Arabidopsis thaliana: one gene and its partner. The protein of the gene in region 1 interacts with the protein of each later gene in a pairwise test. Each region holds a gene or a part of one and is shown on either strand. Other genes may lie near its edges.

What was found.
Region 2: the proteins of CCR3 (region 1) and AT2G21237 interact in a protein complementation assay, tested with the Arabidopsis thaliana proteins (one large-scale study listed by BioGRID).

Annotation. Positions count from the first base shown.
Region 1 is NC_003074.8:20,752,282-20,758,855, reverse strand, and holds CCR3 (CRINKLY4 related 3), read left to right. Parts: upstream 1-2,165; 5' UTR 2,166-2,508; coding exon 2,509-4,953; 3' UTR 4,954-5,291; downstream 5,292-6,574. UniProt on the Arabidopsis thaliana protein: Serine/threonine-protein kinase.
Region 2 is NC_003071.7:9,099,494-9,103,233, forward strand, and holds AT2G21237 (uncharacterized protein), read right to left. Parts: upstream 1,723-3,740; 5' UTR 1,692-1,722; coding exon 1,191-1,691; 3' UTR 1,043-1,190; downstream 1-1,042. Other genes in the region: BPC4 (basic pentacysteine 4), read right to left, coding at 2,022-2,843, 2,928-2,996.

The DNA.
Region 1 (6,574 bases):
TGGTTCGACATTTTCTTGTATATAATTCAAAAAATACTAAAACGTTTACATTTTTTTTTATTCTTTTTCATGATGTATTACAACACTATGTACATGGTACGTGGTCTAAGAGCTGGACCATGAAGTCTTCTTTCCATTGATATCTTGCGTTCTGAGAATCTAAAACAAACAAAAAAGCTTTATTTTTTACCCTCCAAAAATACTTATTGACGCATTACATATGTTTAATTTAGACTTGGTCAATTTGGTCCCTGGATTGTTAGATTACATCATTAGAACACTGATTTTATTATAGTTGACCTAGCAAACAATCGACTTGAATTTTCCCAAATGATTGTTCTAAGTTTCTAATACCATTTTTTTTATAGTATCATATTGCCACTAAATCACAATTTTTTTTATCATTTATACATTAAACAACAACAAGAAAAAGATATTCGAGGACGTGAAGTTCATGCAAATGTGTGTGTGTAGTAGTAGATATGTTCCCATGATTTTCAATATATAATTTATCAGTACATGCATGTAGACACATTAATATAGATATCGGAAATTCAATTTATACTAAATTTGAGTAAATAAATATCAAAACAAAGGGGATAGATGATATATTAATTAATTAATATAAAGGTGAGGGGATACAATGTTTCAAAACTTATTATGATGAAGAAAAAGGTGAAAAAAGATGTGTGCATAAGATTCAGAGAAGGTTTCTCCCAAGTCTCCGTCTCCATCTAAGTCTGGTCTCAGCTTTGACTTCAAATTCTTTCATATAATTTGAATAATACTGAGGGAAAGATGTCACTAATTTATTTTGAACAAGTTAATAGCAATATTGAAGCGCACCATGCATAGCTATTGAATTTTAGCTCAATACTACAAATCAACGAGATCACGCTATTGAAAGAATTCGGTAGAAGTTATTCTTTGGTCAAATATAGGCAGCCATGAGCCATTGAATAGTTTTTGCTTTACAATTTTACTGTCGTTTTCAGTTTATCATTTCCTCTCTCACTTTTCGTCAATCAATTTTCTTTATTACAAATCCCTAGTAAGATTCTAAGAAAGTACGTGCGCGTTAGTAGAATCCAGGAATCATTCCTTTCCTTCATTTCTCCAAAAAAAACCTTTTTTTGGCATTCTCATATTTTATAATATTCTCTCTCTTCCTAAAAATTTGATGTTTTAATTTTTTCTGTTCCACAAAAATTGATGATTATTATTTATATTGTTGACCAATAAAAAAAAAGAGATATAATTAATATTATTAAAATAACAAAACAATAATATTAAAATATAAAATTGTTTTTCTTAATTTGTGTAAAAATTTCATAACATCAAATTTGGTGGAATAAAAGAAATAGTTTTTTTCATTTATCGTATTCAAACTATACTAAGTTGTATATTTGGAGACATCTATAGCTAGCGGGCTAAGTTTTTGATGGATCAACATAGTGTATGCAATTTATGCAAATATACTTTTGGTTTTAGGGTAATATTTTTTTTCATTAATGATCCATCTAACCTTTTTTTTTTTAAAGAAAATTGATCTATCTAACTTTTACCATAATATTTCATTGATCTTATTGACAAACAAAATATATATAATTTTGACTTTAAAATGATTATTCTAACTTTCTGTAAAAAAAATTAAGGACAGTTTTTTTTTTGACAATCACAATTAATATTGAAAATTAAGATTGACAGGTTTTGAATGAAGGTCTAGGTGAAAAAAATAAATTATATTGAAAATTCTAGTACTCTAGATATGCATAGTTTAGTCAAACACAGAAATTGGAAAGTTCAACAAACAGAAATTCACAGTTTAATAACTTCACAGAACAGGAAAAAAAACATTTTTGGAAACATAGACCTTATAGTTTGAATTATATAAGAAATATGTATACTATACTGTTTGCATGACAATTTAATATTCTTTATATTATTCACACTACTTTCTTAGCATATGAGCGGTTGTTGCATGACTAATATAAATCACCACATTATTTATATACACACATATACAACGTAGTAGTTGTGGTGTATTTAAATATTGAAACGGCCCAAATAATTCATATCAAATTTTCTTTGAGAATCTTTAAAAGGTGGTAGTAAAGAAAATTTGTTATGTAAAAATATATCTTAATTAATTACCAATTAACACTCTTGTTATATTTACATAAAGATACTGAATTTCCTTTTTGAAATTCAAATAATTACTCTGTTTTAGAAGATTTAACATTTAGATTAATGCTGTAATAAATAAATAAATCAAAATCAAAGACAAAAAAACGTGACTCTAACATATTAAAAACGCATTTCTTAAGCAAATTCTGACTAATTTCTAATTACTGTCTTGTCTCTAATAAATCTCACGAACGTCTTCTTCTTCTTTCTTCTTCTTCTCTCGTTACTTCTAACACAAGAGTCTTGTTATTGAGTTCTGAAAATGAACCAATCCGACTTAGAATCGACGACGAAGACGCCAGTCAACTTCAACCTCTGTAGATGAAGAGGTTTATCAACTCAACCGTGACGTTTTCCGTCACCGTCACCATCGCCGTTATCATCTTCTTCCTCTTGTCTCCCGTCACCTCCTTAGGTTCAGGCTCAACTTACGCAGTCGTATACGGCTCCGACACCGTCTGCGCATTGATCTCCGGTCAACCCACACAACGTATCCTCTGTTACGACACGCGTCTTAATATCAACGTCACTCTAAACCCCGGCGTCTCATTCTCCTCAATAGCCGCCGGAGATAATTTCCTCTGCGGTATACGCTCCGGTGGTTACAGCCTTCTCTGTTGGGATAACATCGGAAGCTACTCTCCAAACCGGAAACGAATCTACCAAAACGACAACGTTTTACTCGAGACTCTCTCCGTCGGGGATAAACAAATCTGCGCAACCGTTAACGGTACAAATTCCTTAAAATGCTGGAGAGGTTCCGTTTCCGATCAATCAAAACCTCCGAACGAGAGATTCCGATCAATTTCATCCGGCGTTGGTTTCTCCTGCGGCGTTTCGATTCGAAATAACCGAATCCTTTGCTGGGGAACCGATCCGGTTAAATCGAATCAGATCCAAACCGGATTCGGAAACACGCCGATGGTGACCATCTCCGCAGGTAAATCACACGCTTGTGGATTAAACACTACTGGGAATTTGATTTGCATCGGAAACAACGATTCTGGTCAGCTCAATGTTATTGCTCCAGATCAACCTAACCTTTACTCATCATCTCTCTCTCTCGGATCAAATTTCACCTGCGCGATGCGAATCTCGAATAATTCTGTGGTTTGTTGGGGCGGAGGAGCAGAGAGATTCAACAATGTCACGGATTCGATCTCTTTCGAATCGATTTCCTCGGGTCCGGGTCTAATTTGCGGGTTGATTTCAAGTAATCTCTCAATCATGTGTTGGAATCCTACAAATTTCTCCAGAATCTTCCTCCCTTTCCCAGAAGTTTTACCAGGTCCTTGCGTTGAATCATCATCATCCTCTCTTTGCTCTTGTGGTGTTTATCCACAATCTGATAAGCTCTGTTCTGGTACTGGCTCGATTTGTAAATCATGTCCGATTCAATTTCCAGCGAGTCCTCCGAGTCAATTTCCTCTTCCACCACCACCACCACCACCACCGCCATCACCGTCAACTTCATCTCCACCGTCGAAAGCTTTAACAAGAGGATTATTAGCGTTTGCGATCGTTGGATCAGTTGGAGCATTTGCAGGGATCTGTAGTGTGGTTTACTGTTTATGGACTGGAGTTTGCTTGGGGAAGAAGAAAGTTCATAACTCGGTTCAACCGACGATAACTCGCGGTGGTTCTAATAGCCGGTCTAACAGTTCGAATAGCCGGTCGTTATCTATAAGACGTCAAGGATCGAGAATGCTATCAATGAGGAGGCAGAGAAGTGGAACATCGTCGATGAAGCACGCCGATAAAGCGGAAGAGTTTTCGTTCTCCGAGCTTGCTTCGGCTACCGGAAACTTCTCTCTAGAGAACAAAATCGGTTCGGGGAGCTTTGGTGTTGTTTACAGAGGTAAACTCAATGACGGGAGAGAAGTAGCGATCAAACGCGGGGAAGTAAACGCGAAGATGAAGAAGTTTCAAGAGAAAGAAACCGCGTTTGATTCGGAAATCGCGTTTTTATCGAGGCTTCATCATAAGCATTTGGTGAGACTAGTTGGTTACTGCGAAGAAAGAGAAGAGAAGCTTCTCGTTTACGATTACATGAAGAATGGTGCGCTTTACGATCATCTACACGACAAGAACAACGTCGAAAAACATAGTAGCTTGATCAATTCTTGGAAAATGCGGATCAAAATCGCGTTAGATGCGGCTAGAGGAATCGAGTATCTACATAACTACGCAGTGCCACCGATTATTCATAGAGATATTAAGTCGTCTAACATCTTGCTTGACTCTAATTGGGTCGCTAGAGTTTCGGATTTCGGGTTATCATTAATGGGTCCGGTGCTAGGGAAAGATCATAATCCTTATCAACGTCCAACGAAAGCTGCGGGGACGGTCGGATATATTGATCCAGAGTATTATAGTCTTAATGTTTTAACGGATAAGAGCGATGTGTATGGACTAGGAGTGGTGTTGTTAGAATTGTTGACCGGGAAAAGAGCGATATTTAGGAACAATGGTGATGTGGAGGAGGAGGAAGGGTGTGTTCCGGTGCATTTGGTGGATTACTCGGTTCCGGCGATAACGGCTGATGAGTTGAGTACAATTTTGGATCCGAGAGTTGGATCACCGGAGCTAGGTGAAGGAGATGCGGTGGAGCTGGTGGCTTATACGGCTATGCATTGTGTGAATGCGGAAGGGAGAAACAGGCCGACAATGACGGATATAGTAGGGAATTTGGAGAGAGCATTGGATTTGTGTGGGGATAGTCATGGGAGTATCTCTAGTGGCATTTGTTCTATTGTCTCTGATTGAGAGATTAAATTCAAACAAATTGAGTCTCTTCTCTTTTTATTTTTACATAGGAATTTTTTTTGAAGATTTAATTGTTCTCTTAAATATTTCTGCTTTTTTAGATGGTTTGTTTTTTCTTTGTTTCATTTGTATTTTGTAAATAGTTTAGCGTAGCTGCGTAGGAGAAGTTGAATATTCAATAGTCGTGGTCTAACCTTTTTTGGTTGGGAAATGTATAATTTGGACAGCGGAGAGCGAATGATTAAAGTTGGAATTTTTGGTTTATTGTTTTGTATGAGAATTATGATGTCGTTCTTTTGGTCAAAACGTATTCTTTAATTTATGTGTAGATAATAATGGCTCTGTCGTGGATTTTTGTATTAGGAAAAGTTTTAATAAAAATCCAAACTAATTTTAATTTAGACGTTTAATATCTAATATTTTTTTATTAGAATAAAAATACTTTATCTAATTATTTATAATTATAAAATACCTCATATATATATATATTATTGGTAGAATCAAATTCGGCCGTTAACGGACGTAACGTAAATAGTTAACGGTGTTAAATTTTAACCCCTCCATAGTACAGAGATATATTTAATTTATTTCCTGAAATGAAGATAAAATCGATGTGGTCTGTTGGTAAAATGCTGAATTCACTATCAGCAAGATCTAGGTTCGAGACTGCCCAGAATCTTTAAATATTAAATTTTTGTTTTTTTTTTCTTTTTCGCCCTAGCGCCGCCGTCGACCACCATCCCGGAGATGATAGCACAATTGGAGGATTAATTTGGTCACAATTATAAAATCCCTACTCTCTTGAGGGTGGGGGTTCTTCTTCATCCTCTTTTGCGATTGGGGATGAGAGCTTTAGGGTTTATTGTAAAGATTAGGTGAATGAAAAGATGATTGGATATACGAGAGCTATAATTAAATGATATTGGTGTAACAATATGTGGTGATTGGAGATCGATCTAGGAGCAGAAGAGTCTAAAAACCTTGAAATTTCGGAATTGGAGGCTCTTGTTCATGGGTTAGATGAAGGTATCATCTCTCTGGGAAGTGGTCGCGGCGGGGAAGGAAAGAATAAGAAAAAAAAATTAAAAAAACCTTATCTAGATTCGAACCCGAGTGTTGCAGGTAGAATTAAACACAATTAACCACTGGACCACAACGATATCATCTTATATGATATAAAACAGCTTGTATATATCCGTATGGTTAAAATTTAACGACGTTAAATGATTATGTAACGCTCGTCAACGGCCGTTATATCTCGGGTTTGATTTCACCAATAGTTTATATATGAAATATTTTATAACCACAAATAATTAAATAAGATATTTTTATTTTAATTTAAAAGTATTAGGTATTAAGCGTCCAAATTAAAATTAGTTTGAGTTTTTTTAAGGATTTTTTCCTTTTTTAATTATATTCTCTCATTTTGTGTGATTCGAATGAAGTATAGATGTAATCTAGTCAAACTGCCGTCGTCCATGTGTTGTTATTTTGTTGGAAATTTCGACGCCAGAGCTTTAAAGTTGAAAGCATGTATTTTCCTAGTGTAAATGATGATGTAGTATTGAGTATACTTTATCTCCGGTTATTGGATTGATTATCTATGGTTATTGATTAACCT
Region 2 (3,740 bases), on another chromosome or scaffold:
GAACATAAATATTGTTTGTTTTCTTTTTCTGATTTAGATATACATTTGGTTCATCTCTAGAAGAATTACCAATGTTGGATTTTACAAATGATTGTTGTTTGATTTTTTACAGAAAGTTTTGTATATTTTTGTAGTCCTTTGATTAATTGTAATTGTGAGATTTATTTTTTGGCTATATTAATAAATATCATATATCTCCTTTTTTTGATCAACTAATATTTTTATTTTTGTTTATTAATTTATTGATTTTAGCAATCACTTAATTAGTAAATCTTTTCTATGCACTACATGGACCCACATTAAATTACATTACTTAATTGTAGATATTTCAGTGAATCTAAATTAAATTTTGTAAAAAAAAATGTATTTTTATTTGGAAAAAATAATTGTTGTTAGCAATAAATTAATAGATACTATAAATGATTGTAAGTTTGTTTAGAAATTAAATTTACCACATTTGGCTAAAAATTGGGTAAATCACCATAACAGTATTCTATATAAGTAATTTATCTTAGACCAATTATGTAGCGACAAATGTACATTAGTAGATTTACTTCCTTGTTTTTTTGGGGCCACCTTTCGGCCACTTGATAAGTAAAATTTCTTTCTATTTGGGCCAAAGTAACTTCTTATTGTAGAACCGGTAACGAAATTGACTCAAACAACCCATGAGACTCACACATATTATTCCTCGCTGAACTGACACGTGGCATTATTTCAAAGAAGTAGAGATTTTTACCTTGAATGTAAAGATTTTTTATTTTAGTTTTTCCAAAACTCTACTTTATAGCAATTCAAAATTTTGCAAAAAATACTTTCCCTAAAAAACAGAGGATCTAGTATTTTACTTGGGTTGTTACAAAATTTCAAAGAAAAACCAAAACCCATTGTAAGACTTTTTCATCTTTTGCTTTTAACTAACAATATATAGTACATCAATATATATATATATATATATATATATATATATATATATATATATATATATTGAACTCAGCTCATAAGAGGGGAAAAAAGAAAGAAAGATGTAATTCGAATTTTTGAAGATCATTGGTCGTTGGATTATTGGAAAAGATAAAATGCTGAATAACAAACATATCACAAAAGAGATTATTAGATTCTTGAATCGATCTGATAGCTAACCACATCAAAGTTATTTTTTTGAATGAACCACACTAAGTTTTAATTTGCTAACGAGTTCGACATGATCTTACTTCGCCGTGAGACGGGAATGACACTGCGCGTTTTATCCTCGGCATCTTCTTGTCATCCGGAGCAACCACAACGGCTAAACTTTGGCAGCTGTTTTTCACCGTTTCTTCAGTTCGTTTAGTCGTCTCGGTACTCTGATTCTGCACCACACACGGTTCTTTGCTTGGAGTTGAATCCACAATCTGATCTGAGCCGCGCCTGACGAGAATATGAAGACCGATCAAGATGACAAGAGGAAGACACATCAAGAACAATGCATAGTAGATGATCCACCCGAATCCCGTGTGACTCTTTCCGTGACAGATCCACTCAATGACTAAAGCCATTCCTGAGGTGAATGTAGTCAAGCTGCTTAGGACAAAAACTTTGACAATCCCCGGATTCGGAATTTGCAAGAAGGCTCTTGCGGCGCCAAGAAACCATATCTCTTGTGACCGTTGATGCGTCTCCACATGCGCCACTGTGGCTTTCTCCATCATTTTGTTGTTGTTTATGCTTACTTTGTGTTTTATTTTTTGTTCTCTCCTCTCGGTATAAAAAGAAACTAACAAGTGAAAGAAAAAAGGGGTAACAGATTTTGCTATCAAAGGGGTAACAGATTTTGATTTTTAACTGTTACGATTTTATTTTATTTTTTGAGGTCAAAACACAGATTTTTTATGCAAACCATTTTTGCCCATCCAAAAGATACACATAACAATGGTTTTACCATACACAACAAAGAACAAACTATGGACAATAAAGACAAAGACAACACCTAATCTTAAGAAGACGAGAGAAACATACTTGGACTGTGTAAACAACAGAGGCTACTTGATAGTGATGTAGCGGTTTGTCCCGTGCCTAGCCCAATAGTCTTTAAGATCAACAGGACACGAGAGATCATATCCTTCTGCTGATAAACGGCTGAGTAATCTCGAGAAAACGTTTCCGCTCATTTTCCTACCGCCCATCCGAGAATGCCTCTTGTTTGGCATCTGCGGTAATGGATACTGGGATAAGGTGGTTGTGCAGCAAGACGATTGCCAGCCGCCATTTCCCCATTTGTAACACTGACGCGTAGAGCCTGTGCACGAACACATGGGTACAGGCATTGTCGTCTCATCGAAGGTGACTAAGTTCAAACCGACATCTTGACTGTCCCAATCTGTTCTAGATTTCTTTCCAGGAGCAGGAACTCGACGGTTCAGATCTTCACCCACTTTTTTCACCTTTGATAGTCCCTGCTTGTTCTCTTTCTTCCTTTTGTTCACCACCTTCGTGTTTGTAACCTCAGGCGGAATAGTTGACAAAGGGAAGACTTCAAGTTTGTGGGGTTCCCCAATACCAAAACAATCATCTCCATCAACACACTTCCCACCAGACAAAGCAAAGTTGAGACTATTTTCATGGTGTTGAAGAGCAGCATAAGCATTATCTCTCTCTATCAAAGCTTTATCTCTCTCAGAAAGAGCTTTGTCACGTTGCTGAAGCGCTTCGTCCCGAGCAGCGACAGCTTCCTTTTTAGCAGAGACAGCTTGATTTCTTTCATGTACAGCAGCGTCTCTCTCAGCAAGGATGGACATGATCTTCTTATTCATCACCAACGCATTATGTTGTTCCTTAATCTGATGCTGGGGAATCATATTCCACTGTAACAAACATTCTTTGCTTATATAACTTCAATCACACTAACAAAAACATATCTTTAGGAAACCAAAAATCTTAAGTCTTACCATAGATTGTGCACCTTTGAAGTAATCGGGCTTGAACCGCGCATTATCATACTGACCACCATTCTCCATAACTCTTATAATCTTCAAACAGTGAAACACCGAACCAATCAAGCTTCTCCTCCAAACACACTCAGCAACAGTGAAACCAAATTTCAAACATTGTGATTCGATCTATGAAAACAATTGAAGAGTAAGAATTACAAGCAGATATTAGCACACTGAACTCGCAATTCACTATCTTCAAACAAAATCAAAACTTCTCGAATTGATCTGCCAGTTAGGGTTCCGCAATTGATTCAGATACCAAAATCAATCTGAGCTAGTCAGAGAAACAGGTCTTAAGGAACAATTTTACGAAAATTGGAATAAATTAGGTCAAGATCAAAAAGGTCGAATCAATCTAAACCTTCCATGACAAGAGATTATTCCGCGAAACAATAGAAAACAAGGGTGAAACTGAAATTATAAACCCTAGAGATACAACACATTCAAAATTGATTAACAAATAAATTAAAGAGAGGAAAAGGCGCGAAAGCTTACGAATTCGATGAGCTTCTGGAAAAAATCTGGGCAAAATGGATAATTGATCGAGAAGAAAGATCCAAAGGGTAGAGAGAGAGAGAGATAGTGTCTCTGTCCGCGAAGAAGCTCAATGTACTTACTTCGTCATTTACCAAATTACCCTCTTCTCTACTACTAAACAAGAGAAATCAAGGGTATACTCGTCTTTTTAAATATCCTCTTTCAGTTACAATAATGATTCATTGTGGATTTAAGCATATAAATAGAGAAGAGAGAAATCTATATCACTTT